4 linked regions of the Oreochromis niloticus genome follow. The protein of the gene in region 2 interacts with the protein of the main gene of each other region in a biochemical or structural test. Links are inferred from orthologs where the notes say so. Each region holds a gene or a part of one and is shown on either strand. Other genes may lie near its edges.

What was found.
Region 1: the proteins of hsp90aa1.2 (region 2) and fkbp4 form a complex in vitro, tested with the Homo sapiens proteins (4 studies listed by BioGRID and IntAct). The link is inferred for Oreochromis niloticus from reciprocal best matches to the Homo sapiens genes HSP90AA1 and FKBP4.
Region 3: the proteins of hsp90aa1.2 (region 2) and ahsa1a form a complex in vitro, tested with the Homo sapiens proteins (4 studies listed by BioGRID). The link is inferred for Oreochromis niloticus from reciprocal best matches to the Homo sapiens genes HSP90AA1 and AHSA1.
Region 4: the proteins of hsp90aa1.2 (region 2) and stip1 form a complex in vitro, tested with the Homo sapiens proteins (9 studies listed by BioGRID). The link is inferred for Oreochromis niloticus from reciprocal best matches to the Homo sapiens genes HSP90AA1 and STIP1.

What each region holds. Positions count from the first base shown.
Region 1 is NC_031972.2:54,490,053-54,497,488, forward strand, and holds the start of fkbp4 (peptidyl-prolyl cis-trans isomerase FKBP4), read left to right. Parts: upstream 1-4,425; 5' UTR 4,426-4,707; coding exon 4,708-4,806; intron 4,807-5,308; coding exon 5,309-5,453; intron 5,454-5,709; coding exon 5,710-5,852; intron 5,853-6,635; coding exon 6,636-6,756; intron 6,757-7,436. Other genes in the region: ATP-dependent DNA helicase DDX11, read right to left, coding at 76-150, 274-476, 587-674, 1,770-1,877, 2,016-2,073, 2,808-2,944, 3,047-3,133, 3,221-3,436 and 1 more. UniProt on the Homo sapiens protein: Immunophilin protein with PPIase and co-chaperone activities. Component of steroid receptors heterocomplexes through interaction with heat-shock protein 90 (HSP90).
Region 2 is NC_031980.2:5,312,736-5,320,013, forward strand, and holds the start of hsp90aa1.2 (heat shock protein HSP 90-alpha), read left to right. Parts: upstream 1-4,271; 5' UTR 4,272-4,449; intron 4,450-5,495; coding exon 5,496-5,645; intron 5,646-5,811; coding exon 5,812-6,178; intron 6,179-6,268; coding exon 6,269-6,402; intron 6,403-6,597; coding exon 6,598-6,915; intron 6,916-7,036; coding exon 7,037-7,202; intron 7,203-7,278. Other genes in the region: hsp90aa1.1 (heat shock protein HSP 90-alpha 1), read left to right, coding at 472-621, 736-1,102, 1,190-1,323, 1,442-1,747, 1,842-2,007, 2,159-2,349, 2,465-2,612, 2,707-2,975 and 2 more. UniProt on the Homo sapiens protein: Molecular chaperone that promotes the maturation, structural maintenance and proper regulation of specific target proteins involved for instance in cell cycle control and signal transduction.
Region 3 is NC_031983.2:6,923,495-6,930,539, forward strand, and holds the start of ahsa1a (activator of 90 kDa heat shock protein ATPase homolog 1), read left to right. Parts: upstream 1-4,025; 5' UTR 4,026-4,203; coding exon 4,204-4,283; intron 4,284-5,737; coding exon 5,738-5,928; intron 5,929-6,324; coding exon 6,325-6,407; intron 6,408-6,501; coding exon 6,502-6,619; intron 6,620-6,809; coding exon 6,810-6,901; intron 6,902-7,045. UniProt on the Homo sapiens protein: Acts as a co-chaperone of HSP90AA1. Activates the ATPase activity of HSP90AA1 leading to increase in its chaperone activity.
Region 4 is NC_031975.2:9,398,156-9,405,939, forward strand, and holds the start of stip1 (stress-induced-phosphoprotein 1), read right to left. Parts: upstream 3,022-7,784; 5' UTR 2,878-3,021; coding exon 2,869-2,877; intron 700-2,868; coding exon 490-699; intron 393-489; coding exon 251-392; intron 1-250. Other genes in the region: spata22 (spermatogenesis-associated protein 22), read left to right, coding at 5,793-5,898, 6,688-6,825, 7,042-7,231, 7,533-7,784. UniProt on the Homo sapiens protein: Acts as a co-chaperone for HSP90AA1. Mediates the association of the molecular chaperones HSPA8/HSC70 and HSP90.

The sequences.
Region 1 (7,436 bases), on a different chromosome or scaffold from region 2:
ACTGCCAAGATATTTTAAACACTTGTTTTTTCTATTTTTAAGACAGGAAGAAGAATACCAGACATATAATTGTACCTGTCCCTTTAGCTGGACACCTGCTGCTCGTCTTGTAGCTTCATGAAGCACCATTTGATAGGGTAACACAACCAGCTACACCAACATAAACAAACCACAAAGACATTAAATGAAAACCAGATCTTGTGGGAGAAATTCAGTAAGCAAGTAGCTTTTGTTGACAAATCGACTGGCGACTCCCTGTGCAGGGAGACCTACCTGTGCAGGGGGAATAGCGAGACGTGTAGCGTAATAAGGACATGAGTGCGTTTCCCTGCCCAGCTTCAAAAGCTGCTCTATGTCATGAACAGCCCCCAGAACTACATCTCGCATCTGCTGCAGTGCTGAAGCCTTATTATAGGGACACACGCTCTTTGCTGGGCCTCGCTTACGTTTTACACCCTCTTCGTGATGATGCTTCTCTACAAAATGGAAGGAGAGATGAAAGAGGCTTTCTCGAGAAAAATCAATAAAGCCTGAGGTTAAAATAATTTCTGTAAGAAGACCAATTCTTCTACAAAATGCCTCTCACCGTGCTTGTTTTTCTGCATCTCCATGCAACGGTCATTTATGCGCTGGATGCTGCCCAGCCGCCGCACTTCTTCATTGATGCACAGATTCTGTAGAATTTTATAACAGGACAATGTCAGATGTCAGTGTCAAGAGTCACAGTTTTATTCATTGAATAAATGTAATAGTTTGTGTGCAATGCCAAGTAAAGTCTCAAGTACAGCGTCTTTGAATACTGTGTATTTCATAAGGGAAATCCCCTCCTAGAACTAGATTGTTCAATGTGCTATAGCAAAGAACATAACGCCATTTATCTTGCATTTGTTTCTCCATTTTTTTCTGTCATGTAGAGGATTTAACAGGCCAGTCTTCCCAGCGCTGGCTGTTGTTAGGTGCTACTTGAGAGTTCTGTCAGAATCTAAAAGGACTCTTTCAGAATTAGACAGTTTCATAACTGTTCCCCATCATATCCTGTTCTGCAAATGTTTTCTTGGCTTTATTATCCTCTGAAAATTAAGATCGGGTTTTTTCCTACATTTGAAAAAGCCTCTAACAGGCTGATTACACACATACGAGTCTGCATACGTCAAAGGCAATGAACCTTTGTTAACTTATTTGTTATTTCTGACCATTTGAGAAACAAAATATAGTTATTACACGTGTGTAATGAAACCTAGTTAACAAAGCACGTTGGTGAGATTCCTTTAGCTATGCTTAAAACCTCCTCGGGTGGGAGCAGTAAAAATTCTTCTATGAAAGAAAAACTGCCAGTAGGTAAACAAACAGAAAGACTTTTTTTGGTGGCATACTTTATGAACAATCTGTACTTTTACTGACAAAAAAATAGAGACAAATTATACCAATCAGTTACTTTGAGGAATTAAAGGAAATTGCCAGAAATCTCTCAAGTACTCGAGCTGACAAAAGAGGCACCATGGAGAAACAGTCAAAACCAACTTCAAGAAAAAAGTATAATCACATCTATTGAATGAATAAGAGGACAGGATGAAGAGATTCATGCAAAAAATTATCAGCTCATGTTCATATATATTTTGTGTTACTTTAAATAGATATTTATGTATTCAACCAATAATGACATTTGTGTGTTTTTGTGTGTGTGTACCAAATGCTGTATGTAGGACTGCATAAACATTTTTTTCAACAGTAGAAAATATGTTTTTTAACAGTCGCTGCTGGGTACATACCTGCCGTGAACCCAGTGTGACCACGCTGATGTCCTTGCTGAAGGGGCTCTTTTGTACCTCATGGACAAACTGGGCCAGTTGGGAATGAGTGCGGCTGCAGTAGTAAATCTACAGATATGCATATGAACACAGTTCCACATGAGGGGAATGTCCGATGCTCATAATTATAATAATTTCCATGCTATAAATATATCCATCCATCCAACCCATTTAACTCTTACAGCTGTGCAATGTGAAATTTCATACCTTAGTAACATGTTCTTCAACCAGTTCATCATCCTCATCTTCTTCTGCTCCAAAGAATCTGAGGATGCAAGCAAATAAATCCTTTATCAATTTCAGACTCTCATTTGGATTATTTATTAATTTTACCCATTAATTCATGTCCTCACTTAGTTTATTAATATATAACTAAAGCTAAACTCAAACTAACGATAACTCTTGTATGATACACACAAAAAAGTAATCAACGGGACTGTATCATCAGAGAAAACACAAAATTTTGAAAAACCTAAATAGAAGACACAACTGAGCTGATCGTTTTGACATATGAACACTCTATGACACATGATGCAAGACTAGTTAGTGGGCAAAGAAGAAGAAAAATGGCCAATGACAATAACATGTACTGGGACTGCTGCTTTGCAACAATCGCACCAACGAACAAGCAAATCCACTCTGGAAACTAACAAAGACTAAACTGAACTGTAACCAAAAACTCAAGATGAATTCAAACTAATTAGAAAATATAAGATAAGATAAGATAAGATAACCTTTATTAGTCCCACACGTGGGAAATTTGTTTTGTCACAGCAGGAAGTGGACAGTGCAAAAGTTATGAAGCAAAAATTAGAATAAAATAAAATAAGAATAAATACAGTACACAACTGTACAGAATAGAATAAAATAAAATACTATATACAGTAGAATAAAATAGAATAAAATATACAATGAGATAAAAATAGAGTACAAATGCTATATACAATTGAGTAAAAATACAACGATGAATATGAAACTATAACAATCAATCTTCCTCACCTGCCCTTAATCTTTGACTCATCATCGCTCTCATATTCTGCAATGATCAGCTCCTCGTCTTCTTGATCTCCTGTTGCCTCGACCTGCTCCTCTTTACTGAGCTGAAGCAGCTTGAATGCCTCATCCTCTTCATAGCTCTATGAACAGACAAAAGTATTGTATTAAAATTACTCCAAGTCACTCGTAATTTTAATATCCAAGTGAAGCTCCATTAAATGCTCGTGTGCATGATGGCTCACCTTTCTTTTAACCGCATACTTGAGCTGGACATTATTCCGGATCATTTCTAACCGTTCTTCTCTCTTCTTCCTCTTCAATTCTTCCTCCTGACACCAAACCAATCAACAATAAGCAAACTTTGTGCAAGTTCAAATCCAGACTTCGCACACACTTCACATCCAAGTTTTCCTCACCTTCAACTTTGACACTAAGTCACGTTCTGCTTTTTTTTGCACAAAGTCAGTGATCCAGTCCAGCTCTGCTGAGGAGCTGGCTACAGAGGATTGAGCAGCATTAGTGGAAAGAGCTGCTTCTCCTTCCTGCAACAGAGCAGTTGCCTCCTGCCTCTTTCTCTCCTCATAATCTCTTAGCCAGCTCAGTGCTCCACATATCAGACTCAGTGACTTGCCCTAGATTGACATAAATAGACAAAAACACTTATTAATGAAGTCCAACAGCTTCTGCACAGATATGCTTTTCTCCCATCTAGTACACACCGTTCCAGTGGGACTTTCAAAGATGCCAACTTTGCCTTTGTCAAGTGCACTGTACAGGGCTTGCATGAACTCCTCCTGGATGTTATAGGGCTGATAGGGAAATGGAAACTCTGCCCTACTATTTTCCATGCTCCTAAACCTAACTGGAAGGAAACATAAAAGCAAAGGTTAGTTTCAACATTTCATTTCTGATATGTAGACTTGCCTCTACAAACAACCGATTAAAGCACCTTTTCAATCCAGACGAATTCCTTTTTCGGCTTGGCTCATTTTACTACAATAACTAAATCTTCATTAACTAAATACCTTACCTGTTCACCAATACGTTGCGTCAAGCAGCTAACATTTGAAACCGACAGCTTTTCAGCTATCTTTAAAGTGAAGCGTTATGCTAGCTAGCAATCTTTCTCCTTACAATCGTATCTTTTAGCGAACGTCAATCAAAATCTGAGAAAATAGTACTGCCGTTTCTTACCGTGTATATCATGTAAAATAATGTATTTGTCTGTGTTTTCACTTGTCAGTTCCCGGCTATTCAACAACCGCGCCAACAAACAGAAGTGGTCACAGAGTCTGGCCAATAGGAAACGAGCTACGAGAAGGAGTGCGTGTTTTAATATACACTAACATTTGTGCGGACGGGGTTGTGTGTATTTATCCACGATTTTGTCATTTACTGTAACGCTGTTTGATGACAAGGAATGTCAGATGTAGCCTTGATATTAGCAATTTGAGTACTGACCTAAAATATTCGTAAAATAAGCATGAGCATTGCTCGTTGGATTTGCTGCCGCCTTCCAGGTAGATCCTTTAAACTATATTTAACGTCGACTACGTTGGTCCCTCCCCCCCGGTACCTCCTAGACTGTCTGGAAAGTTCTCTGCCCTTCTTTAAGCGTCTGTGAGATGCCAGATTGCAGGACAACGTGGACTGAAGGCAACATTGCATAAACCTCGTATTATAAGCTGATAGCAGCGTGACTAGTGAACTATAGCAAAGGGCCCGTGTTGCTAATTGGAAGTTGTGCTGTATTCTCGAGGAACTTAAGCTAGCTAGTTAACGTTAATCAGGTTGTTGCTTGCAGCACTTGATCTGAGGAGTAGTAGGAGCTTTAGCCGCCGTCACTATTAGCCAGTGTTAGTTTGGATTGTGGTGCAAGGCAGAGAAGGGACAGATCAGCTTCATGACGATGACTGCAGAGGAGCAAACAAGTGAAGTACAACATACAATCCCCCTGGAGGGAGAGGACATCACACCAAAGAAAGATGGGGGTGTTTTAAAGGTAAAAATGGTGCTTGATTTGGTACTCAGCACCTAGCTAGCTGAGTAGTTAGCTGACAGCTTGTTTACTATTCGGCTAGGCTAACGTTAGCTGTTGATAGCTATGCTGTCGCATACACTGATTTAAAAAAAATACAATGAAAGCTAACTTTAATGCTAGGAACACCTTATAATGAAATGCAACGTCACAGATATGAGAACTAACTCAGTACCAGAGTGTCAGAAACAAGACTAGCTGTCAATGAAACGGTCTGCATTTCTAGAAGGATCTGGAGCCTTGAAGAAACAACTGTCATTTTATTGATGGACACATTCTATGTTTCATCGCACAATGAAACACATACTGAGGGCTTTAAATATATAGGCCTTCATTCAGAATAAACAAGTTTGTAATTTAGTCGTTCACTACGCGTGGTGCGTGTGCAAGGCAGCGATCACATGCATGTTCAAGAAATTGCTTTCTGATGTTCTTTGATAAATTCTCGTCTTACCTTTTTCTCCAGGTGATCAAAAGGGAAGGTACAGGCACGGAACTGCCTATGACCGGTGACAAAGTGTTTGTACATTATGTGGGCACACTTCTGGACGGGACTCATTTTGACTCCAGTAGAGACAGAGGAGAGAAGTTTTCCTTTGAGTTGGGCAAAGGTTAGTTTCATATTTGTTATAGCTGCACAACCAGTGCAGGATTTTCTCTACATTTTAAAAAATGACCTTTTACTAAAGGAAATGAACCAGAATGCATCTAGTAAGGTAACATAGGCTGTTTAGCCAAACTATATATGGATTAGCCAAGCTTACCTGCATATTTAACCCCACATAACCACAAAACCAAAAAGGGAGGGGCAGCTTGAGACAAGAAAAGCCTTAAAGTGTGAGTTTTAATCTACTTTTTTTTCCATAGGACAAGTAATAAAGGCTTGGGACATCGGTGTAGCCACAATGAAAATTGGGGAGTTGTGCCAGCTCATCTGTAAGCCAGAGTATGCTTATGGATCTGCAGGCAGCCCACCCAAGATACCACCCAGTGCCACTCTTGTTTTTGAGGTAAGGATGCCAGTTTTCATTGTCCATTAAGTACTTTTATTTGTGCAGTTTGAGATACTGTATATTGCTGCGCTTCCATGATAGGATAGAAATTGAGAAGTGGCTTCAATTCAGTGAGTACAAAATACTTCATTATCTTTTTGCTTCCAAGTTTATAAATTACCTTTACAGTTCAGGTTACGCATTGCAAACCAGTGAGGTCAGGCTCGCTGCATTGAATCCTTGGAAATGTGTAGTAGAGCCAGCTTTATTTCAGTCAGTCCGTCTCGGTTGTCTTGCAGTGGATTCCAGCTGTGGATCATAAAATGTATTTGGTTAAATTTAGCATTTAGGATAACTGAATCAATTTTTCTGATAATGCTTATCTCTTTAAGTGCTGTCTCTGTGGCCAGAATTGCAAAAAAGGAAATCATGATAAGCAGTTTCACAATTTGAATCTCCACCGTGCTTATAATTGTTGCTTCTGATGGTGTTAAAAATTGTTATACAGCCTTCTGTTTTCATTGTTTTGCGTAAAACCAATTGTTGCCTTTTCATACATTTAGAATAACTGATGTAACCTTTTGTTTAAAGACTACAGTAAAAGAAAAGGAAAAGGGAAAAAAACACAGTAAATGGGTGAAAAACAAACAAACATGAATGAATGCTCCTCCCCACCCCCTGCCCCCAAAAGAACTAATTTTTTGACAAAAAATGGGGAACTTTGGAAATTTTATTGGAAAAGTTGTTGGGGTTTTTTAATGAAAAGATATACATTTTTGTCACATGTCTACACACTTATAGGTGGAACTGTTTGAATTTAGAGGGGAAGACATAACTGAAGAAGAGGATGGAGGAATCATCCGACGCATTATCACTAAAGGGGAGGGATATTCTAAACCTAATGAAGGAGCAGCTGTTGAAGGTAATGCATCCAGAAACGTGTTTGATACATTCAATTTCATGTTTCATATTTCCATCTTTGGAAAGTAGAGTCCCTGCTTAAATGTGTTTAAGTAAGAGCATATTGAGGATAATAATCTTTTCAAACTAAGGGATCCCACAGGGAAAATGAAACGGCATTAAAAGAAACAGCATTGCCTTTGGTTATGGTGTTATACGTCCCTTATTATGTTTTAACAAATCCACTGAATAATAATTCAGTAACTGATTGGTTTTGTCACCAAGAGTGGACTTAAAGAGTGGACTCAGTCTGCCCCAGGGCAGCTGTGGCTACAACTGTAGCTTGCCTTCACCAGTGTATGAATGTGAGAGTGAATGAATAGTGGTATTGTAAAGCACTTTGAGGGGTCCCGAAAAGCGCTATATAAATGCAATCCATTATTATTATTATTATTATTATTATTATTATTATTACTTGCAGACATAAAGAAGAAACTACTTTCTGCTGTTCCCTTGTCACAAGGGGTCGCCAGAGCGAGTTGCTTTGCATGTTTGATTTGTGAGTTTTACACTTCTAGGCACAACCACAGAAGGATTTGTGACTCCAGCTAGAGTTAAAAAAGCAGCATTTTACTTGCCAAGTCAGTGTCTAAACCACTACAATATAGAGCTATTCAAAAGTAAACCCGAAGATATCCAATT
Region 2 (7,278 bases):
AATATGAATCCCATAGAACTGTAAAGGAATTATTCATTCTGGATTAAAACCTTTGTTTAATGTATGAAATGTTCTTAGAAGGCCAAAAAAAATATATGCAGTAGTCGTGACAACAGACTACCCCTTCCTATGCTAAAAAAACAAAGTTAGTTTTTGTTTCATCTTTGAATTTCAAGTTGCTATTTTTTTAACAAAAACACTACACACATTGAAGCTATTAAGGGTTTCCAAAGCATCTGAACCCCCCCCAAACCCCCAACCCCCCAAAAATGCCAGTTCTGTGATTGACAGAAGGAACATGTGCACATCAGCAGGCCATGTGGCTGCCTGAGAAAAACTTAACCGAAGAAGTTCATAGTAAATTAATTTAAACTACAGGTGAAAATATAATTATTCGAAAACACAAAAAATACAGAGGTACAATTTCTTTTTTTTCTGAAAAATGTTACCCAATATGTTCTTCCCCTTTAGATGCCTGAGAGTTCTGCACACATTATGGAGGAGGAGGTGGAGACCTTTGCCTTCCAGGCTGAAATTGCTCAGCTGATGTCCCTTATTATCAACACTTTCTACTCAAATAAAGAGATCTTCCTTAGGGAACTCATCTCCAACTCCTCAGATGTAAGGGAAATAAACACTTCAACACCATGTTTTCCAATTTTTTTGAATGTAAAGCAAGCCCTTATATTTTTTGCCCCCCAAAACTATTTTAATTGAGTTATCTATTTTCGACAGGCCTTGGATAAAATCAGATATGAAAGCTTGACGGATCCCACCAAACTTGAGTCCTGCAAGGACCTGAAGATTGAAATCAGGCCTGATCTGCACGCTCGCACCCTGACCATCCTTGACACAGGTATTGGCATGACCAAAGCTGACCTGATCAACAACCTGGGCACAATCGCAAAGTCCGGCACCAAAGCTTTCATGGAGGCTCTGCAAGCTGGAGCTGATATCTCCATGATCGGTCAGTTTGGTGTGGGTTTCTACTCTGCCTACCTGGTAGCCGAGAAGGTGACAGTCATTACCAAGCACAACGATGACGAGCAGTATATGTGGGAGTCTGCAGCTGGAGGCTCATTCACAGTCAGGCCTGATACAGGTATGTCTTAGTCGCCTCATTTACACAACAATTGAATCAGTCATTTGACCTTGTCTGCCACGGTTCTAATTTTGTTGTTGATTTTAGGAGAGCCAATTGGCAGAGGCACAAAAGTGATCCTTCACCTCAAGGAAGACCAGACGGAGTACTGCGAGGAGAAGCGTGTCAAAGAAGTTGTGAAGAAGCACTCACAGTTCATTGGCTATCCCATCACACTTTTTGTAAGTTTTTAATTACACAGTAAGAACAATTATCCAATCAATACTTGATAATAACCACACATTGGGTGTGATAATGGTATGGCAAAGCAAAATTTAAATATGCCTTTGCATATTTAAGGTGGAGAAGACAAGAGAAAAGGAAGTAGACCTGGAGGAGGGAGAAAAGGAAGAGGAGGTTGAGAAGGAGGCTGCTGAGGACAAGGACAAACCTAAGATTGAGGACGTTGGCTCTGATGAGGATGAAGATACAAAGGATGGCAAGAACAAGAGGAAGAAGAAGGTCAAGGAAAAGTACATTGATGCCCAGGAGCTCAACAAGACCAAGCCTATCTGGACCCGTAACCCTGATGACATCACCAATGAAGAGTATGGCGAGTTCTACAAGAGTCTTACCAATGACTGGGAGGACCATCTGGCTGTGAAGGTAAGCTAAATCTTCTTGTGATAAAACATATTTAGCAACACCAGTTGCAATAATGTTATGCTAATTAATACATATCTATATCTTACCCCTGCAGCATTTCTCAGTGGAAGGCCAGCTGGAGTTCCGTGCCTTGCTCTTTGTACCTAGAAGAGCTGCATTTGACCTCTTTGAAAACAAGAGAAAGAGAAACAACATCAAGCTTTATGTGCGCAGGGTCTTCATCATGGACAACTGTGAAGAACTGATCCCAGAGTACCTCAGTAAGTAACAATAAAGTAACACATTAGTAATAGTGAACAAAATCTTGACCCTTTAATGATGCATTCTCTCAAAATTCATAGTTATTAGTAATTGTTTTTGGAACTCAACTCCTGGCTTTGGGTAGCTGACCAGTTTATTTTCCCTACTCAGATTTCATCAAGGGTGTGGTGGACTCTGAGGACTTGCCACTGAACATCTCCAGAGAGATGCTGCAACAGAGCAAGATCCTGAAGGTCATCCGCAAGAACCTGGTCAAGAAGTGCCTGGAGCTTTTCTCAGAACTGGCTGAGGACAAGGACAACTACAAGAAGTTCTATGAGCAGTTCTCCAAGAACATCAAGGTAGGATCATCCATCTAAATTTCTTACACTCTAAAACTTCAGAAAAAATGTATGATACCAATCATTTTGCATTGATGTTAATAACACAAAATGACACATTGTTTTTTATGCTTAGCTTGGAATCCATGAAGACTCCCAGAACAGGAAGAAACTGTCTGAGCTGCTCCGCTACTACACCTCAGCCTCTGGAGATGAAATGGTTTCCCTCAAGGACTATGTCTCTCGTATGAAGGATAACCAGAAGCACATCTACTACATCACTGGTAAGTTATTCAGTGTGGTTTCCTTTTCTTTTGTTTTCAAGTATTCCCTGGGAGTTTAAGTTCATATAACACCATACTGAAATAACTTTAACAGGTGAGACCAAAGACCAGGTTGCCAACTCTGCTTTTGTGGAGCGCCTTCGAAAAGCTGGCCTGGAGGTCATCTACATGATTGAGCCCATTGATGAGTACTGTGTCCAGCAGCTGAAGGAGTACGATGGCAAGAACTTGGTTTCAGTAACCAAGGAAGGCCTGGAGTTGCCTGAGGATGAGGAGGAGAAGAAGAAGCAGGAAGAGCTCAAGACTAAGTTTGAGGAACTCTGCAAGATCATGAAGGACATCCTTGATAAGAAGATTGAAAAGGTAATTTTTCTCCTTCAGAAAATGATAAAGTTATTATAGTTAACATTATTAGGCATGAGAAGCTTGCTTGACTGTGTTCAAACATACTAAAAATACTGTATTTCCATCCTGACAGGTTGTAGTTTCGAACCGTTTGGTTGCTTCCCCCTGCTGCATTGTCACCAGCACCTATGGATGGACGGCAAACATGGAGAGGATCATGAAGTCTCAGGCACTGAGAGACAACTCCACCTTGGGCTACATGACTGCAAAGAAGCACCTTGAGATTAATCCCTTGCATCCAATCATTGAGACCTTGAGGGAGAAGGCAGAGGCTGACAAGAACGACAAAGCTGTGAAGGACCTGGTCATCCTTCTGTTCGAGACTGCCCTGCTCTCCTCAGGATTCACACTGGAAGACCCACAAACACATGCTAACCGCATCTACAGAATGATCAAACTTGGTCTTGGTATGTATAGCTTTTCCTTCAAACATCCAGGTAGTAGTTAGGTTATTATACATTAATTGAGGAATTTGTTTTTTAATGGATGTATTTCTATACACAGGAATTGATGATGATGATTCTGCAGTTGAAGACATAATTCAGCCTGCTGATGAAGATATGCCAGTCTTGGAAGGCGACGATGACACATCAAGAATGGAGGAAGTTGACTAAATTATTTACTAGACTTTTTCTGGCTTTGATTTTTATTTTTGTAATTTATGTTCCTAATTTAAATGTACATTATTTTTTAGCAGAATTTCTGTTAGTAAACAATGTGCTAGTCAGAAAAAGTTGATGGAATTAATACAGACCACAGTGGCTTTAGTTTATATTGTATCAGCCACTTATAAAACTTCTGACAATCACTAAGAGTATTATTAAGTCACCGGGGTTTAGACTTATATCTCTTTTGTAACATTTTTTATGAAAAGCAATCAAATTTGTAATAAAATATATTTTAAAAATGACACCTGTCACTTTTCTTATCTTATCACCTGTCACTTAATTTTATCACTTGTTTTTGCTTCCTACAAACAATAATACTGAAAGGTGAAAAGTTGTATTAGAGAAGCGCTTAATACAGCTAAGTGGCTTACTTTTATCAATTACATCGTTTGATTTATCATGTATTCTGGAATTTTCAGTGAATACAGCATGGTTCATTCTAGTTTCTGCTCTCACATGCCTTCCTCATTCGGCTCAGCCTCCCCTCCCTTAATCCCGCCTCCTTCTGCCAAGAAAGGCAGAGAGGCATGTACACGCACCATGATTGACAGGGCACCGGGCCAGTGAGCGGCCACCACCGAGCAGGAGGATTCCAGACGGTTCTGGAAGCTTGTGTCAGGAGGATTTCTCGAATGGTCATAGAGGGTATAAAAACCGCACCGTTACACCAGTTTCCATAGAAGCATTAGCAGTCAACGAGCCTGCGAGTAAGGAGCGATCTCTACACATCTTCCTCAGGAGTTTTGGGCACACTGCAAACCAAGGTAAATGCATTAACAGCCTTACCACAGACATTTGGGATACGAAAATATTACACGCCCTCAAATTCAGATTTAATAGTACTAAATGTTAGCTTATTTGACAATAATTTAGAATCGAAGCTGACATTTTTGTCATGTCTGGATAGAAAGTGAGGCTGAAGTGAAGAAAGGGTGAAATGTAGTTACAGCACCTGGTCTTTAAAAACTGATTAAAAAGTATCTGCTCTGAAATTTTAATGTCAGCGTCATAAACGGTAATAAGAATTTGATTCCTATTGTGCCTCATTTCAGAATTCAAACCTGCGGGACAGTAGCCACATGGCAGGATGCTTTAGTGATGCATTTGGGAGGAAGGTGTTATGTTAAGCAGGGGTTTAACTGTTTGAACCTTAATCAAATTTCCTGTGCTAAGATTTCTGCAAGATTTTTTGGGCCATCTTATCCTTGTACCAGGTTTTAATTCAGTGCAAAATCAGTAGGGTACAGAGTGTGCATTCTTATAATCTCGTCAGCTGTATGAGAGGCGGGCGCTTTCGATTCATATGGAAACTGCTAGAGAGTTCTTCTTGCCTCCTCGTACCTTCTAGAAACTTGCACTTCACCTGGGAAACCAGCAGGTGGAGTAATTTCTGCTGATACCGATATGCAATTCAAGCCACGTGTTAATCTCTGATTAGCCAATAACCAAGCAGGATTGAATCACAGTCCAAGAAGGGGGGAAAAAAGGTCCTTGTACCTTTTAATACAAAATTATGAAAGTAAGCAAGAAAAAAAGAAACCAAAAAAAGTGACTATATACTACACATCTACACAGAATTTGCTTTAGTTTGAAGTGATGTTAATTCCTCAATGTTACATTGAGGCTACTTAATAAGGATAAGCTGTAACTGCAACATCTTACATAAGAAGGATTGGCAGTGTTTTTCAAGTGTATGTTGCTGGGATGCAAACATTTAGTGTTATAAAAAAGAGTATTTTATATTGTGTTTCAGTCACTTTAGTCAATGCATTTTTTTTAAAAACAATATTTGTTTTCCGTCTTCACTCAGATGCCTGAAATGCACGACCAACCAATGGAGGAGGAGGCAGAGACCTTCGCATTCCAGGCTGAGATTGCTCAGCTTATGTCCCTGATCATCAACACTTTCTATTCCAACAAAGAGATCTTCCTTAGGGAACTTATTTCCAACTCCTCAGATGTAAGTTTGCAATATTAGACTGTGTTGCTTTGTTTATTATTTAAAATAAAAAAGACATTAAATAATATGCTTTTTTCCCCCTTAAGAAATTGAATTATATTTTTATCAATACAGAATAAATTCTGGAATTTCTTTAAACAATTAACATTGTGTTTTGCTCCATCAGGCACTGGACAAAATCCGCTATGAGAGTCTCACTGATCCTTCCAAGCTGGAAACTGGCAAAGACCTCAAAATTGAGATCATTCCCAACAAAGAGGAGCGTACTCTAACCCTAGTTGACACAGGTATTGGCATGACCAAAGCCGACCTGATCAACAACTTGGGCACAATTGCAAAGTCCGGCACCAAAGCATTTATGGAGGCTCTGCAGGCTGGAGCTGACATTTCCATGATCGGTCAGTTTGGTGTGGGTTTCTACTCTGCCTACCTGGTAGCCGAGAAGGTGACAGTCGTTACCAAGCACAACGATGACGAGCAGTACGCCTGGGAATCATCTGCTGGTGGCTCATTCACAGTTAAAGTAGACAACTGTAAGTGATATAAACCCAAATTTGAAGTGAATTATTAATTATCTAACCCGGTGGTTATAAAGTATACTGACCTATGGTCTTCCTCTACAGCTGAGCCACTGGGACGTGGAACTAAAGTGATCCTGCACCTCAAAGAAGACCAGACAGAATACCTTGAAGAGCGAAGGGTCAAAGAGATTGTTAAGAAGCACTCACAGTTCATTGGCTACCCTATTACGCTATTTGTAAGTACTTAAGTCATATTTAATGATCCCATAGAAGAATTCAATTTGTAACTATTGCAGATAGCTTTTGCACTTTAGACTTCTGAGAAAGTTGCTGAATAAACCTCTGTAACACTGATATTATAAAATAGTGACTCCCTAAGGCTAAGGTGTAGGGAAATTCTTCAGCGTGTGACCAAATGTATTTTCCTTCAGGTGGAGAAAGAGAGGGACAAGGAGGTGAGTGACGACGAGGCAGAGGAGGAAAAAGAGAAGGAGGAGAAGGAGAAAGATGAGGAGAAGGATGAGGACAAACCTGAGATTGAGGATGTTGGATCAGATGAAGAACAGGACCATGAGAAGTCAGACAAAAAGAAGAAGAAGAAGAAGATCAAGGAAAAGTACATTGACCAGGAAGAATTGAACAAGACCAAACCCCTGTGGACCCGGAACCCAGATGACATCACGAATGAGGAATATGGAGAGTTCTACAAGAGTCTCACCAATGACTGGGAGGACCACTTGGCTGTCAAGGTTGGGCTCTTGATATGTTGTTTTAAAAATGTAGCAGTTCTTTATAGGAGGAAAATTGTGTCTGATTTAATGTAGCCCAATATATAATCACTTTTGTTTTTTTATTTTTTTTGCCTTACAGCACTTCTCAGTAGAGGGTCAGCTTGAATTCCGTGCCCTGCTCTTTGTGCCTCGGCGTGCTCCTTTCGACCTCTTTGAGAACAAGAAGAAGAAGAACAATATCAAGCTGTACGTGCGCAGAGTCTTCATCATGGACAACTGCGAGGAGCTCATCCCAGAGTATCTCAGTGAGTATTAAACTGTGGATTACAATTTCCCCAACAATAATAGAATTATAATGAAAATGACACAATGGACTCTTTA
Region 3 (7,045 bases), on a different chromosome or scaffold from region 2:
TTACACTAATTGGGTTTGTTGGCAGCAGGTCAGTAACACGACTGGGTTTAAAAACACTGCCACACATGCAGACTGAGCCTCTGGTAGTTGTGATCAGAACTAACACACCACATTTTGGGTAATAGTGCGTGGATCTTACCCAGTGAGCTGTAAGCATGGTTTATACATGTTATGTGTGTTGAGACCGCAATAATAAAACCATTTTGCTCAACCCCGAACAGTTACTCTGCTTTATTTTGAATGTCACTGGTCCATTATGAGTCAAATTTGAATAAAGCCTTTGAATAAAGTTCAAATGGTGTTAACTGTTTTTAGATAATATAACAGAAACCATAGTTTTACACTTAATACATGGCAAAAAAGGTATATACTTGTTGAGTCACTGTATGCTCTGTTTTCACCAAGTCAAACAAACAAAATGCGTCTAAGCTTTTTCCTTTTGGTGGTGAAAAGGACTTGCTTTTGCTTATGCTCGTATTTTCTTAAAATGCTGAAGAAATCATTCTGGCGAGGTAACAAAAAGTCAGCTGGTTTCAGTAGCTGATAGAACCGCTTTTAACCCTTTATAGTTTGGTCTAACTTAACTCGGTGTGTCATTTTTTCTTATTTTCACCTTTTTCTGTCTTGTTTATGTGGACAGACACTTAAAAGAAATGTCTTTGGTAATATATTGTATTGATAACCTGTGGAAATATTCTCATTCACTGGAAATTTTAATGCAATGACAGACAGATTCAAAGAACACTGAGTTTTATACTTTCCCTGTGTACTAAAGAAATCAGAGATCTGATTACAAATCCATACTAAGGCCAGAAAAAGACAATAAAGTCAAGTTCAAATATGATCCCATGTGATTTTCCATCTCAATAGAGATCACTTTGATAAGTAAACTGCATGAACAGTCTTTTAGAATTGTGTATTTTGCTCATTGATGGTTGTTTTTTAAGCTTCTAAACTGCAGGTTTAATAAGAAGTTAAACTGCACTTTGTTTATATCTTCCCAAATCAGTAGCAGCCACCTTTGGAGGCTTTTCATTAGTGTTTTTTATAAGACTCTTTAAATCTGATTGGTGTAATTACCAGTAATTATCATCGCTAATGATGCTTATTACCTCTGCCTCTGGATGTTTTCATTTGCAGCAATGGTTATTAGCTTATCTATGTGCCTGTTACCAGAACCTACACAGACTTTAAATCCTCGAGGCTCCAACATCTAGCTACTGATCTGTAACCTCATTGGAACAATTATTAGACTTGACACAAAAAACAGAAGGTGGGGCTACTTTTTGGATAAGACGGATAATAAGAGTTAATTTGACTTATTAGAGGATATAAGTTACGTACCAAACGCCAACTTTAGCAAGGTACACCTTGCTAGCCCCAGGTTAGCCCCCTTTTGCTATAAAAACTGTTTTAATTCTTCGTGGCACTAATTCAAAATGGTGCTGGAAAATTTCCTCTGAGATTTTGGTGCATATTGACGGGACAGTATCACATAGTTGCTGTTCATTTATCGGCTGCGTGTCACCACAACCACCTCTCAAAGGTGCCCTATTGGATTTGGTCACTGTGGAAGCCGTTTGAGTACAGTGAACTCACTTTCATGTACAAAACCCCCCCCAAAAAAAACTGTTTGACATGAGTCTCCAAAAGTTGAATCTGTTCATCTGGACGTAGCGTTTTGTGGGAGAAACGTTTCGTCACTCATCCAAGTGACTTCTTCAGTCTCAGCTGACTGCAGGTTTCCCCAAACCTTATAAACAGTACATTTGCATAATGACTGAAACCAGCCCACTGAGGGAACAATGGGCTGTGAGGTCAGTTTCTTAATCATAATTATGCAAATTCCATGACCATTGATCAACAATCACTGACCAAAACCCACTGATCAAAGAACACTGATCAATGGCCATGAGTACCATTCACAGAGAGTTGGGGAATGGCTGCAATCACAGCATTGTAAGATGGTGACAGATGTACCCTTAGGCCCCCTCCTCGATTCAGAGATGGTCTTTCCCTTTTCACGTAAATGGCCTCCTTGACTCCGCGCTCAAACCGAGGAGGGGGCCTAAGGGTACATCTTTCGCCATCTTACAATGCTGTGATTGCAGCCATTCCCCAACTCTCTGTGAATGGTACTCATGGCCATTGGGGTGGGGTGGCTGTAGCTCAGGTGGTAGAGCAGGTCATCTACTGATCGGAAGGTTGGTGGTTCGATTCCTGGCTTCCCCTAGTCTGCATGCCAAATATCCTTGGGCAAGATACTAACCCCAAATTGCTCTCCGATGCATCCATCGGAGTATGAATGTGTGTGTGAATGTTACTTAGAAAGCACCTAGAAAAATGTGCTTGTGCGAATGGGTGTGAATGGGTGAATGCACAAGTTGTGTAAAGCGCTTTGAGTGCTCAGAAGAGTAGAAAAGCGCTATATAAGAACCAGTCCATTTACCATTGATCAGTGTTCTTTGATCAGTGGGTTTTGGTCAGTGATTGTTGATCAATGGTCATGGAATTTGCATAATTATGATTAAGAAACTGACCTCACAGCCCATTGTTCCTTCAGTGGGCTGGTTTCAGTCATTATGCAAATGTACTGTTTATAAGGTTTGGGGAAACCTGCAGTCAGCTGAGACTGAAGAAGTCACTTGGATGAGTGACGAAACGTTTCTCCCACAAAACGCTACGTCCAGATGAACAGATTCAACTTTTGGAGATTTACTTTCCTGGATGATTGAGAATGCATCAAGATGTTTGACATGAGTTTTGCAACATGGTTCATGATCCTGGTGGATGCTGCTGCCAGAAGCGGTCATAGAGTGAGGAACATGGTCAACAATACTCAGGTAGGCTGCGGCTTTTACATTATGCTCAGCTGATATTAAGGGGCCCAGAGTGTGCCAAGAAGTTATGCACCATGCCATTAGACCTCCAGAACCACTGATCCAAGGCAGGATGGAGCCATGCATTCATGTTGTTTCTGAATGTTGCAGCAGAAATCGAGACTCATCGGACCAGGCAGGATTTTTCCACTCTTCAATTGTGCATTGTTGATGCGCCTGTGTGAACTGTAGCACGAGTTTGCTGTTCTTGCTGCTACAGACCATCTTCTTCAAGGTTCCATGTGTCGTACTCTCAGAGATGTTCTTCTGCATACCCTGGTTGTAATTACTGGGTATTTCAGTTATTGTTGCTCTAAATATATAGAGAGAGACTTATGGAGTAGATCAACAGTTTATGAAATATTCAGTCTGTGTCTACATGCCCAAATACATTGAGTTGCTATGTGATTAGATAGCCATGTTAATGAGCAGCTGAACAGCTATACCTATTGAAATGGCCAGTGAGTGGACACCAGCCATTTCTTTTTTACTCACAGCAAAGGGAACATACATAAATAATAGCTCATGCTATACTCACTCAAACTCAAAGCGAGAATCTGCTGACATGGACTTAATCCCTCACGGTCTTCCACTCATTTTTATAATCACTGTCTAATATCACAGGTGTTTACTTCAAGATATGTAAAATGTTTAGGCCATGCCATCAGAAGTTTCACTAAGAGTTGTTTTCATAATTAATCAATTATTTTGTCCAAAAATTGCCCCATAGCTGTGAAAAATCTCCATTTTCATAAACCTGAGGGTGAGGCCTTCATTTGTCTTCCCCTTGCAAACAGACAAGAACAGACAAAAAAAAGTACATCCTTAAAAACAAAAACAAAATCAAAAAAACTGGAACATTTACAAATTTTGTGTGGTTGGTTAAAAAAAAATACTTGTAAAAGTAATTTGTATGAGTAGTTCATGTGAGCCTGGCAGAATGAAGCGCTTTCTTAAAAAAAAAATACAGTTGAAATGGAAAATAAAAACAAGGCTTTTCAAAGTCTATCTATCTGTCTATGTACTTAATCATTTACTTACTTACTTATTTTATTTTTGTAGTTCCAGAAGTCTGCATTCCTAACGCGGAACTATTCTTCAGACTTCCGGCAAGGGGGGGACATTTTTTTTACCTCCTTCCACAACGTTCCGTTTCCAGCATTTTCTGTGCTCGGCGAATAAACGCAGGAGCACCGCTTGAGAGCCCGCAGCAGCTAGAGGCTTCTAGAAACAGCGTGCGCATCGGTGGATAGTCACCGGCAGACACCTGCTCTCTGCTTTTAACCTTACACGGTTAAACGTTTCTTATTATTTAGTCAACAAAATGGCGAAGTGGGGAGAAGGAGACCCTCGTTGGATTGTAGAGGAGAGAGCTGATGCGACTAATGTCAACAATTGGCATTGGTAAGAGCTAATGAAAGGACATTGGTTTTTAGCTGTTAGCCTAATGCTAACACGACACACCGAGCTCCTGTTAGTATCAAACTGTAGTTTATATGTTTAGGTTTGGATCAAGTAAGTTTAGGTCATTATTTTGTCTGTAGCCGGCTGCAAGTATTGAGGTATATCAAAGTTTGAAATAATTAGGCGAGCTAACATTGCAGGCGTTCTTAAGTTAGCTTCGCCTGTAGCTAGCCGCTGAAGCTTCAAGTGCATGTGTAACGGCTTTTAACATCAGTAGCGTTAAAATGCAGCATGACCAATTGTATCTACTGCAGTATTCTGGTGTAGTAACAAGCTTTATAGTCTCTCACAATTGGTAAGTTTACGGTTACCAGCGTTTCATCGGTTACACCAGAACACGTGTGGTAGCCCCAGTTACAACGTGACTGCACTTTTTTATAGCTGCCCTACGCAAAATAATACGAATAAATTCATAGTTTGTAAATATGGCATTTGTTCGTCTTTTGTAATGATCTCGGAGCATTTGATTACAGGCTTTTCTCTGTGGCAGCCATACTGATTACTAGCAAGGGGCGCTGTCACCAGTCAACTAGAATGTGGTTCCTGAGATTTGTCACTTAAGCCGGTCTGTGCCCACCTTCCAGCTGTGGTGACCGACTAAAATACATTTGTATCTAGCTGAGGATTAGAAACTGATGTCAGAGGCCATCTGACTGGGTGATCCAATTGTGACGTCCTGAGTAGTTACCAGTAATGTACACTTTACAACTGTACACAATTGTTGGGTTTTGTTTGTTTGTTTGTTTTCCCCCTTTTGTGTTATGAAAATAAAGAACCCTTCACTTTAATGTTTTACAGTCTTAATCCTCATCATCACACTATATAACCAAATTTCCCCTTGTGGGACAATTAAAGGATTATTCTATTCTATTCTATTCTATATATTGTTTTTTTACACATTTAACTAGTTCGTAGTGAGTGGCCACATAGGGTAGTGCTTTACACATTTCCCAAACAAGTGAATCTGTGAATTCAGTCATGTGAGGTGAGATTCCAGTAGGAAAGGCATCTGGTGTAAAGCCTCTGCCAAATTAAACATGTGGAGCTTCCCGCTGTGGCAACTCCTTGTGAATAAGAGAGCAGATCCAAGTACCATGATCTTCCTCTTGCTAGTTTACAATTGATGTGACTGAGCAGGTAAATCTTGGCCAATCATAGCCTTTCATTTGCCAAACGACCAGTGTCAAACAGACATATGTTTAATGACATGTCAGTGCATCTCATGTTTGGGATTCAGAAAACAAATTTCCCAGTTGAGTATGACTGCAGACACGTTTAAAATACAGTGAGAAGAAGGCTTGTAAAGTGCACAATCCTGAGTTAAGGTGTTGGGGTTTTTTGTTCCTTGTTTGGATCTGCTCACTTATCTTTGTGGTCTCTGCTGGACTTTGCAGGACGGAAAGAGATGCAACAAACTGGTCATCAGATAAATTAAAATCTCTGCTTCTTGGATTGAGCGTGGAGAATGAGGAGGGAACGTGTGAAGTGACAGAAGTCAGCAAGGTCGAAGGAGAGGCCTCGATTAACAACCGCAAAGGGAAACTTATTTTCTTTTATGAGTGGAACGTGAAAGCTACTTGGACTGGTAAGTAGAAAACTAGCATTATTGTTTGTTTCATTTAAGGCAGTAGTTTGGTTTTAATTGCATCTCTGAAACTGGTCGTTTGGCTGCTAACAGTGGCAGTTACCGTCATTGCTTCCAGACTATAATTTAGCAGGCACTGAGACTTAATCAGCATTGTGCCAGCTTGTTTGCAAACATCTTGAATGCAGGGCACGATCTCTTATATGTTGAAGTTTTGCAGCTCAGCCTTTAACAGGTAGATTTTCATATCTAATAGGGGGGAAAAGCTTCAGTGGCTTATAGAGAAGAGTGACAGAGCTAATATGTTGCATTTTTATTATCATTACTAAAATAGGAGACGGGTTTGAAGAGGCTTTGAATCTTTGCTGACATGTTTATAATTTTTTGTTTGAACAGGAAAGTCAAAAGCAGGAGTCAAGTATAAAGGAACAATTGAAGTTCCAAACCTGTCTGATGAAAATGACATGGAGGATCTTGATGTAAGTTTCACCAGAGCACATGTGCACACTGATTCAGACTGGCTGGAAGGTGGAGGAAGAGTTTACTGAGTTTACTTTCCTGTGTCGTGTCCAGATTTCTGTATCGTTGAACAAAGATGAACCCGACACGCCGCTGGTGAACCTGATGAAAACGAAAGGAGTGGATAAATTCCGCGACGCACTGCAAAGCTACGTTGGGTTCTTAAAAACAGGTGAGCTAACGCGTAGCAAATTTCTCCCAGAGCCTAATTGCTGAACACGTTGAGATTATGCATGATTGTAAATCATTAAACTCTTTATGGGTAGAATTTGCGTTAAGAGTTTTCCAGATTCAGATTAGGTTAAAGAAAAGGGTCAAATAATTATATTTATACAAATTCTTCTTTCTTTTTTTAATTGCAGAATTCACACAGGGGATGATCCTACCTACAGCCAATGGTGTGGCCAAACCACAGTCCACATCACAGTCCAAAGCTAAGATGGATAAAACTGAGGTTGGTGCACATCAGTCCCATAGTAAAGATTTTGGACTTCAACACTCACTTTGTCCCCATTTTATTTACTCTGATACCTGAAGCAGTGTTAAGCCTGATTTCTGTGGTTAAATTCCCACCATTCAGTTGTTGTTCATGTCAGAT
Region 4 (7,784 bases), on a different chromosome or scaffold from region 2:
CTAGCTTTTCTCTTTCTGTAACTTGTAGTATTTACCCACAGTCTGATTAAAAACACTCCAAACTCAAGCGGACTGTCTCCTTCATTCTGAAAACCTAAGCTCAAAAAATGCATTTTCACTTCAGTGATGCTGTCAGCAGCCATCACAAAATCCTCTACCCACACAGAAACAAAAGGTGACTCACACACTTTTGACATAATTATGCGTCGTTTCTGTGCAGCTCAAAACAAAAACACAATCCAGTCTTTACCTGCAAGCTTGGCCTCAATGTTCTGCAGCCCATCCTTTAGTTGCTGATTACTTGGCTCCTGTCTGAGTCCCTCTTGGTAAGTTACTCTAGCATCCTCCAATCGGCCAAGAAATTCCAATGCAGCAGCTTTACGGGAGTAACCCTGGTTGATCACATTTGAAATATTTTAGACCGTCTCCTCAATTTTAATAACTATATATTCTGTCAACAAATCAAAGGCATAAAAAAGGACATCTCACCTTCCCCCAATCAGGCTTGATCTTGATAGTCTGACAGGCATCCTGGAGAGCATTCTCATAGTTGCCTTTCTTGGCATAGGCAGCTGAGCGGTTACTGAACAGGACATGGTTGGATGGGTCAACACTCAAGGCTTCGGTGTAGCAACGTATGGCCTCATCGACATTTCCAGCACTCAGTGCCTTGTTTCCTTGGTCTTTCAATGCTGAAGCCTATGAAGCACAGACAGACAGACATGTTTACAAAACCTCTGTTTTGCAGCTCTGCTGCTCTAAATACACAAAGACACAATCCTGACTGGAGAAAAATCCTTCACAGCTGCTACTGGCAGAAGTGAAAAAGGAATTGACAATCATTCAGCTGTTAGTGTCAAACAGGTGCAGGAGTCTTGCAGAGAGAAAATGTTTTTATTTTGTTACCGCATTGACCTGAAAATAAGCCCTGCCTCACAGCAAGCTCAAAGGTGACCCCACTTTTGTGTCAGTTACAGATAATGATTTTTTTTCTTTTAAACTAAAACAGAGGTTAGATAGCTAGACGTATATTACTCTAAAAGTTTTCTCTGCAGGAAGTTAGAGTGAATACAACAGCAAACCATACTGACAATGCTAAAGAAAAAAAGAAAAAAAAAGGTTGTCAATATACTGTACACCCTTTGTCAATTAAAGCTGCTTGTTACAGTTTGTGAAGTAATCGCGCTGTGCCTCCTCTGAATCTAACAGAATCAATGACACGCCAAGAAGAAAGAAGCACCACGCTGCTCCAAAAAGGTTTTCTCACTCCCTGCTGGCTCCTCTTGAAAACTGTCTGATAAAACTCAGTCCACTAACAACTAGCCACGATAAAAAACTTTCAAGTGTTATGTGGCACAACTTTCTTCTTAGCAGTCATTAGACCTAATCCAGTCTGAAACAACATAGCTACATCACAATCCCCTGCAGTGCTATAGGGTTTAGTCAAAAAAAAAAAGTGAATATTCAGTAAATATTATGGAGCTTAAAGGAAGGGATAGCTGATTATATCACCAAGGTCCAGTTGTTGACCAAATGCTTCACTTGGATACATTGTGTGAAGCATTAAGTAATCACAGTCTAGTCATTTTAGTACTTAGGGTGTAAACAATGTGCATATAGTTGTAATAATCCACATATAATCTTTACTAAGTCGGTCCAAAATGAAAATGAAACCTGTAGATGTGTTGCACCATGGTGAATGCTGATCAAGAACCTTGAGGCATACATCAAGTCTTACTTTCACAATGTGTCAAATCCTTAATGTAATATTTCTTAGTTTGGCGTTATCCAGAAAATACAAAAAGGTAATAAAAATTAAACTCATGGACAAATTCCTCGCAACATCAGCACATTTCTAACTAGGCAGTGCCCTCTTTTGACTTCTAACGTGCACCACACTTATTGATTTTATGCTGGACAAATAGGTTACCGAGTCTGAGCGCAACAGTAGTTTTTAAGTAATAAAAATAGCTCAGATATGAAATCCATTCATATCTGTGAATGCAGCTGTTATGCGGAACGTTCGAGAGGACGCAGCAGTTGACGACAACATGCGGCTGTAGCCATGACAGCTTCGCCTGTGTGTGCATCTAGAATGATCCTCCGGTGTGAGTGCAGACTGCCGATGGCACCGCTGAAGCTAATCCAAAAATACTCCTGCAGCATGTGCTTACAGACCGACTGCTGCAAAAGCTCACAGTCGTCTGCTTTCGTTTTATAAAGGGGTCACAAAGGTTTTGTTTGTTTGTTTCTTAATAAAATCAAGACTCTCTGTTTTTCTTATCCTGACATACTGATAAAAATTCACGTTGTGAGCCAAAGATAGCGTTTGACTGAGATTTGGTAACTTGTATATTGCCCATGTTTGCAGAAGGCTAAAAGGCTGGTTTACAACACCGAGCCTACACTGTCCACTGGCAACAGCGGCAGGCAAACCTTACAGGGATAATTTTACGTAAAAAGCAAGTGTGACAAATTAAGTTGCTGCACGCTAGCTTAACAGTTAGCTAACCTTGTCGTGTGCTATCATAAGTGAGACACAACCTTGCGCGAATAAACATTCAAGTTAACTTGCACTTTTTGAAATATGAAGTTAAGCAACATTGCAGTTTAGTGCTGTCAAAATGTTCTGTGACGGGTGAAAACGGCAAGCCCAAATGACTACAACACCTTACTAACGAGATTACGCTAAGCTAACAAGCTAACTAGCAAACAGTGAGCGGTCAGGATAAAGAGCTGACTAACCTCTCCGACCTCCAAATTATTGTAAATAAATTTTTTCCCAAAGAACTCAAAGGAATACACAAATATGTCTTAAATATGATAGTTAGAAAGTTTTAATTATTAAATAAGTAGCAGGACACTCACTTTCTCCATGGTGCAAGCATGAGGTTCCTTTCCAGAAACTACTGTGAACTAGCGCCTCCCACTCAACAACATGCAGGTTGCCAGTTTAGGAGGTAGAAAATCCGTAATCAGCTTCCAGATGAGCGTTTCACCCGTGAGGGGAATCTGAGCAATAATATATAGCACAGTAGCTGAAACTTCCAGAAGATGAGCGAAAACCCGGTGCTACGTTACACAAGATGTGTTACTGGCTCTCTGAGCAGCACAGAGATGAGGAAGAGGTTGGAAGTGAGGGCATAAACATATTAACCCCGAAAATATTATTTAGACCAGCAACTTATTCAAAGCCGGTGATGTTTGTATCTATTTATTTTTGGCACACTAAAACAGATAAACACGACATGCAGACAATGTCCAAGACAAAATCTCAGGGTTACTCACCCACAGTTGCACTAGACTATAAGTTAATGAGTCTGCTGTTTAGTGATTAGGTTGGACTGTGTGAGATTCCTGTTTCCAAGAAGAAGAAGAAAGCTGGGGTGCTATGGAAAAGGTCAAGAAAAAATGTGCATGCAATCAACATGACTACAGTGAAGCTGGGATTTGTTATGTTGTAATTGCCTCATCTTTTAACATTCTATTTGGGAACAGAAGAGTCCAGTTGCTGTAGTCCTGAAAGCAAAATGCTAAACTTATTCTACATAAAGGATTTCATGTTCTTTACACTTTGGGGCCTGCTCCCCCCCCCCTTTTAGTATTTTTATGTTTTCAGTGCCTGACAGGCCTGTGTGGGGGAGTTCTTTATCAGCTGGACAAGGTGTAAAATTTTTGAAACACACAGTTTTAAAAGCTCAAAATTTATGGCACACCCATTGCTGGGCCAAAACTGGTCCCCTTGGCTTTATGTTTGACATTCCTGCTACTGATGAAATCTCTTTTGCCATTTTACTCTTAAATTGTTTAACTATTTGGACCAGTGGACTTTTGCAGGGAAATAAACCATCCCAATTTTTATTCAGAAAGACTCTGCCTATAGAGAGTTGTTATAGCTGATTATGCCATTAGCACTGTCACTGTCTCTATGGAATCCCAGAAAAAATCCTAATAATTTCAGCAGCTCTGCCGAAATGATTAGGTATTTTTTTCTCACCTGGAAGTCTCAGCTTCACAAATTATCTGTTCATCAAAGAGTTTCTCAATGGATCAAGAGGACGTGGAAGACATTCTGAATAGACCATCAGTGCTGCTGTTGCTATGGATTCACAAAGCTAGAAAAGTCAAAACATAGAAGCCAAGATCAAAAGGTGGCCTTCGAACTCAGCACATTGAGCCTCAGGCACTACACAAAACCAAGAGCAGAGATGGCACTGCTGTAAACCTTTGCCCACGTCTTTTCTTATGCACTCAACCAAACATGGCCTCATTTTCATTTGATTTTCATCTCCTGAAGCACCACCAGGACTGATCGCATCCACATTTCACCATGGCAGAGACTTTAGTAAATGAGGTGACGCTTATAACACACATTTTTGTACATTCTAGTTCTTTGGATTTGGGTAAGGATGAGAAATCCATGTTTTCCTGTGGTAAACAGCACACTAAGAGAAATGAATGACAGCTGTGTGTGGAAGTAGGTTTAAAAAGTAACATAGGAAGCCCGCTGGCTGTTAGTTTGCTCTTTGTCTCACTCCCCCATCTACTGGAAGACAGGGGTAAACAGATTGCTGTTATCACACAAATACACACACATCCTACTGTTTCTGTCTCCGCTTGTGTGAAATGCTAATCATGTTATAATCTGCATGTTTATTTCCCTTCACAGAGTCGTGACTTGCTTTATATTCCACTGCAGTCATGCTCTGCACACCCGGATTCAGTCATATTCATCTTTTGTTGTAAGGATAATAATGTTGCAACTATTGTGATCTTAACAACATGAATGTAAAATTTCACTTTGCTTAAAGGACAAAACACCTGCAGTCATCATATTTCTGTTATAGTTTCCTAACGAATGTGCAGTAATGTAATTTATGTCTGTAGAAGTAATATAAGTTGGTTAAATAAAGGCCAGCCTGACAGCCTAAGGTCAGACTGACTTTTATCTAGCTCAAATTAAACTTTGATTTCTATTTATTGTTAATGATTGACAAGAATTATAGTGCATAAATGTGAACTTTTGAAGCTTCTGAAGCGAAACATAACAGAAAAAGTTTGCTTTTTAATCATTGCTGCAAATGTTCTAATTTATCATTATATTATTATTTATAATTATGGGTATAATAACACATAACATGTGCATCAGGCGACGGTCAAACAATAACAATTAAAATATCACCTGCTTTTATTAGAATTATTTTTAACCTGGAATTTTAAAATTATGTCATGTGCAGTTGTGGTCGGAAGATACACTCATGAATGTGATAATAGTTTTGCACGTTTAATGATTTCTTTGAACTGTTTTTCCAGAGTGGAATTATTGCACTACATACATCTTTAATGACTTTAAATTTAATTAATTTAACAAATTCTACCAATTATCCCAAGAATTATGGTTAAAAATTCAGCCAGAATTATGACAGATGCTTGATGACAGCTATCAAACGTTTCACCCATATTGGGGTGGGTGTATTCTTGTATTTGAGCCTGTATGTATACATTTGACCCAGTGTGTATTAGAAAAAAATCCCAAATAAATTAGAACTTAAAACTTTTTAAAGTCATTAAAAGAGAGATGCTGGAAAAAGAACAGTTCAAAGAAATGATTAAAAACCACAAATTACCATGACATTCATGACCTTTCCTGATTGCATTTAAAATTCTGACCACAGCTACTGTATGTATAATCATTTTGAATACAATATTGCCAAAAAGGACCGCAGTGCTTAACACAAGAAATATTCCCGGTTTAAGGAGGGATACAAATCCCTGGGAGGGTTGCATCGGAAATGACATTCGGTGTAAATGAAATATGTGGATCCATCCACTGTGGCGACCTCTTGTGTATAAGAGAACAGCCAAAAGCAGATGATCAAAAAACATCACAAACAAAAGGTAATAGCTCACAAAAAATATAGATGTCACGGTAATTATTTTTTGACCAGCCGTTATTTCGAGGCTGCGTTTACAAAGTCCAAGCTTGCTTATAGACCGTGAAGGCATCACCTGTCACCGCGAAGTTTTGGCGCTTTCAGAGGTGCTGAATTTTAACTTCCGTTGTCTTAGTTTTTTGTAATACTTTGTCAAGTTTTCACCAACAACGACCTGGTCATTTATGTAAGATGTTCACAGAAAATGGGTTGGTTCTGTAAAAGCACGACACTTTGAACTTTCAGGCAGTAACTGTATGACATGTCTAAAAATTACAGCTAGCTTATTAGCTAGTGAGCCAGAGCAAGATAAATTAGCTTAGCTTACTACTTTCCAAGTTAGTTAACCTCCAGCACTACACAGAAAACCAAGCGTATAGTCTTTTTCTTTTACCTTTGTTTTCCCTGCTAAAAAAGTCCTGCCAGTTAAATAAACTGCAAACTAAGCAAGTACAATGAAGAGACAGGAAAACCAGGCGGCCAGGCCTACATCAGGTTGGTAAAAAAATAAATAACTTCACAGTCTGCACACCAGTGTATTCATCTCCACCTCATAGTCATTGATTTCTTTGACTCCAGCCAGGTTGTGTGATAGAGCCTTTGTGTGTGGATAAATGTGGCAAGCTGTGGAGTTTATTTGTACATGAGGAGTTAAATAGGTTAAATAATGAACAGTCAGTGAGTATGTGGTGTCATTAAGCATCATGTTGCGCTGTGGTTCGTTCACTGGTCTTTCCTCTGCCGTTTTCTCCAGGCTGCCTCTCTGTGCCGCTCTTTAACCAGAAGAAACGAAACAGGGTTCCTTTGACCGCTCTTCCCTCTGAGAATGAATTCTTTTCTCACAGCGAGTACACACCAAACACCGGCTCAGCCATATCTCACAACCCAGCAGGTGAACTGTTCATTTTCTAAGCTTCTGCTTTATTTCTGACACTAGATGTCAGTGTATCCACAGAAAAATTAAACATACTTTTAGGTATGCTTGACTTTACATGTTTTTAGAATATTGGTTAGCATTGTAAAGTCATTTATATAACCCGTCACATCTACAGACAGAAGTTGTTGTTTGTTGTGATAGTTTACCTGTGAGAATTGACCTTTTCTTTAGGTGCCTTTGGGTGTTACCAGGCCTCAGGTTCCCCTTCTGGTGTCCCTCAAAGCCAACAGTGGAACAGACAAAGCAACTCACAGGCTGCTCCAGCCCAGCAGTATGGCAGCAACAGACCTGCCCCTGGACCTACCCCTTCAACTAGAGCCTATGGACCCATACCTCATCCATACAAAGCTAAAGAGAAAAGGTGTCTTTAACTGATCATTGGTTACACTGTAGCTTCTCTCTTTTCTTATAGCTCATGTATGTAAACTGCTAAAATATACCCACATGGTATTTAACTTGATGAATTGGTCTGTGATAATGACATGTGGAAAAGTTTTCATAACCATGGATATTATCATTGCACTTCAAAGTTCTTGTTTAAGCTGTGGCACTTAAATTAGTGCCTAGTTGACAGAGACCAAAGAAATTCAGATGTTATCTTTTTAAAAGTTTAAAGCATGTCACAGGACTACTGTTTGTTGAATGCTGGGCTTTCATTTCAGCTCAGTGATGAGACAACCCAGCAACGCACTGGGACAGCAGGATTCCAGCTCTGTCATCAATTTCAGACAGAGCAAATATCAAGGCCCTCGCGGCAGCGAGAGTGGACAAAGCCAGCCAGTGCCCCATACAGGGTTATCTCAGATGGGTCGGAAGTCATCTTATGGAACATCCAGTTCCCCGCATCAGTATTCCCAGCAGTCTAGAGCTCTTCCTCCTCCAGTTCCACCACCCAGGAGGCAGTCTGCTAATGC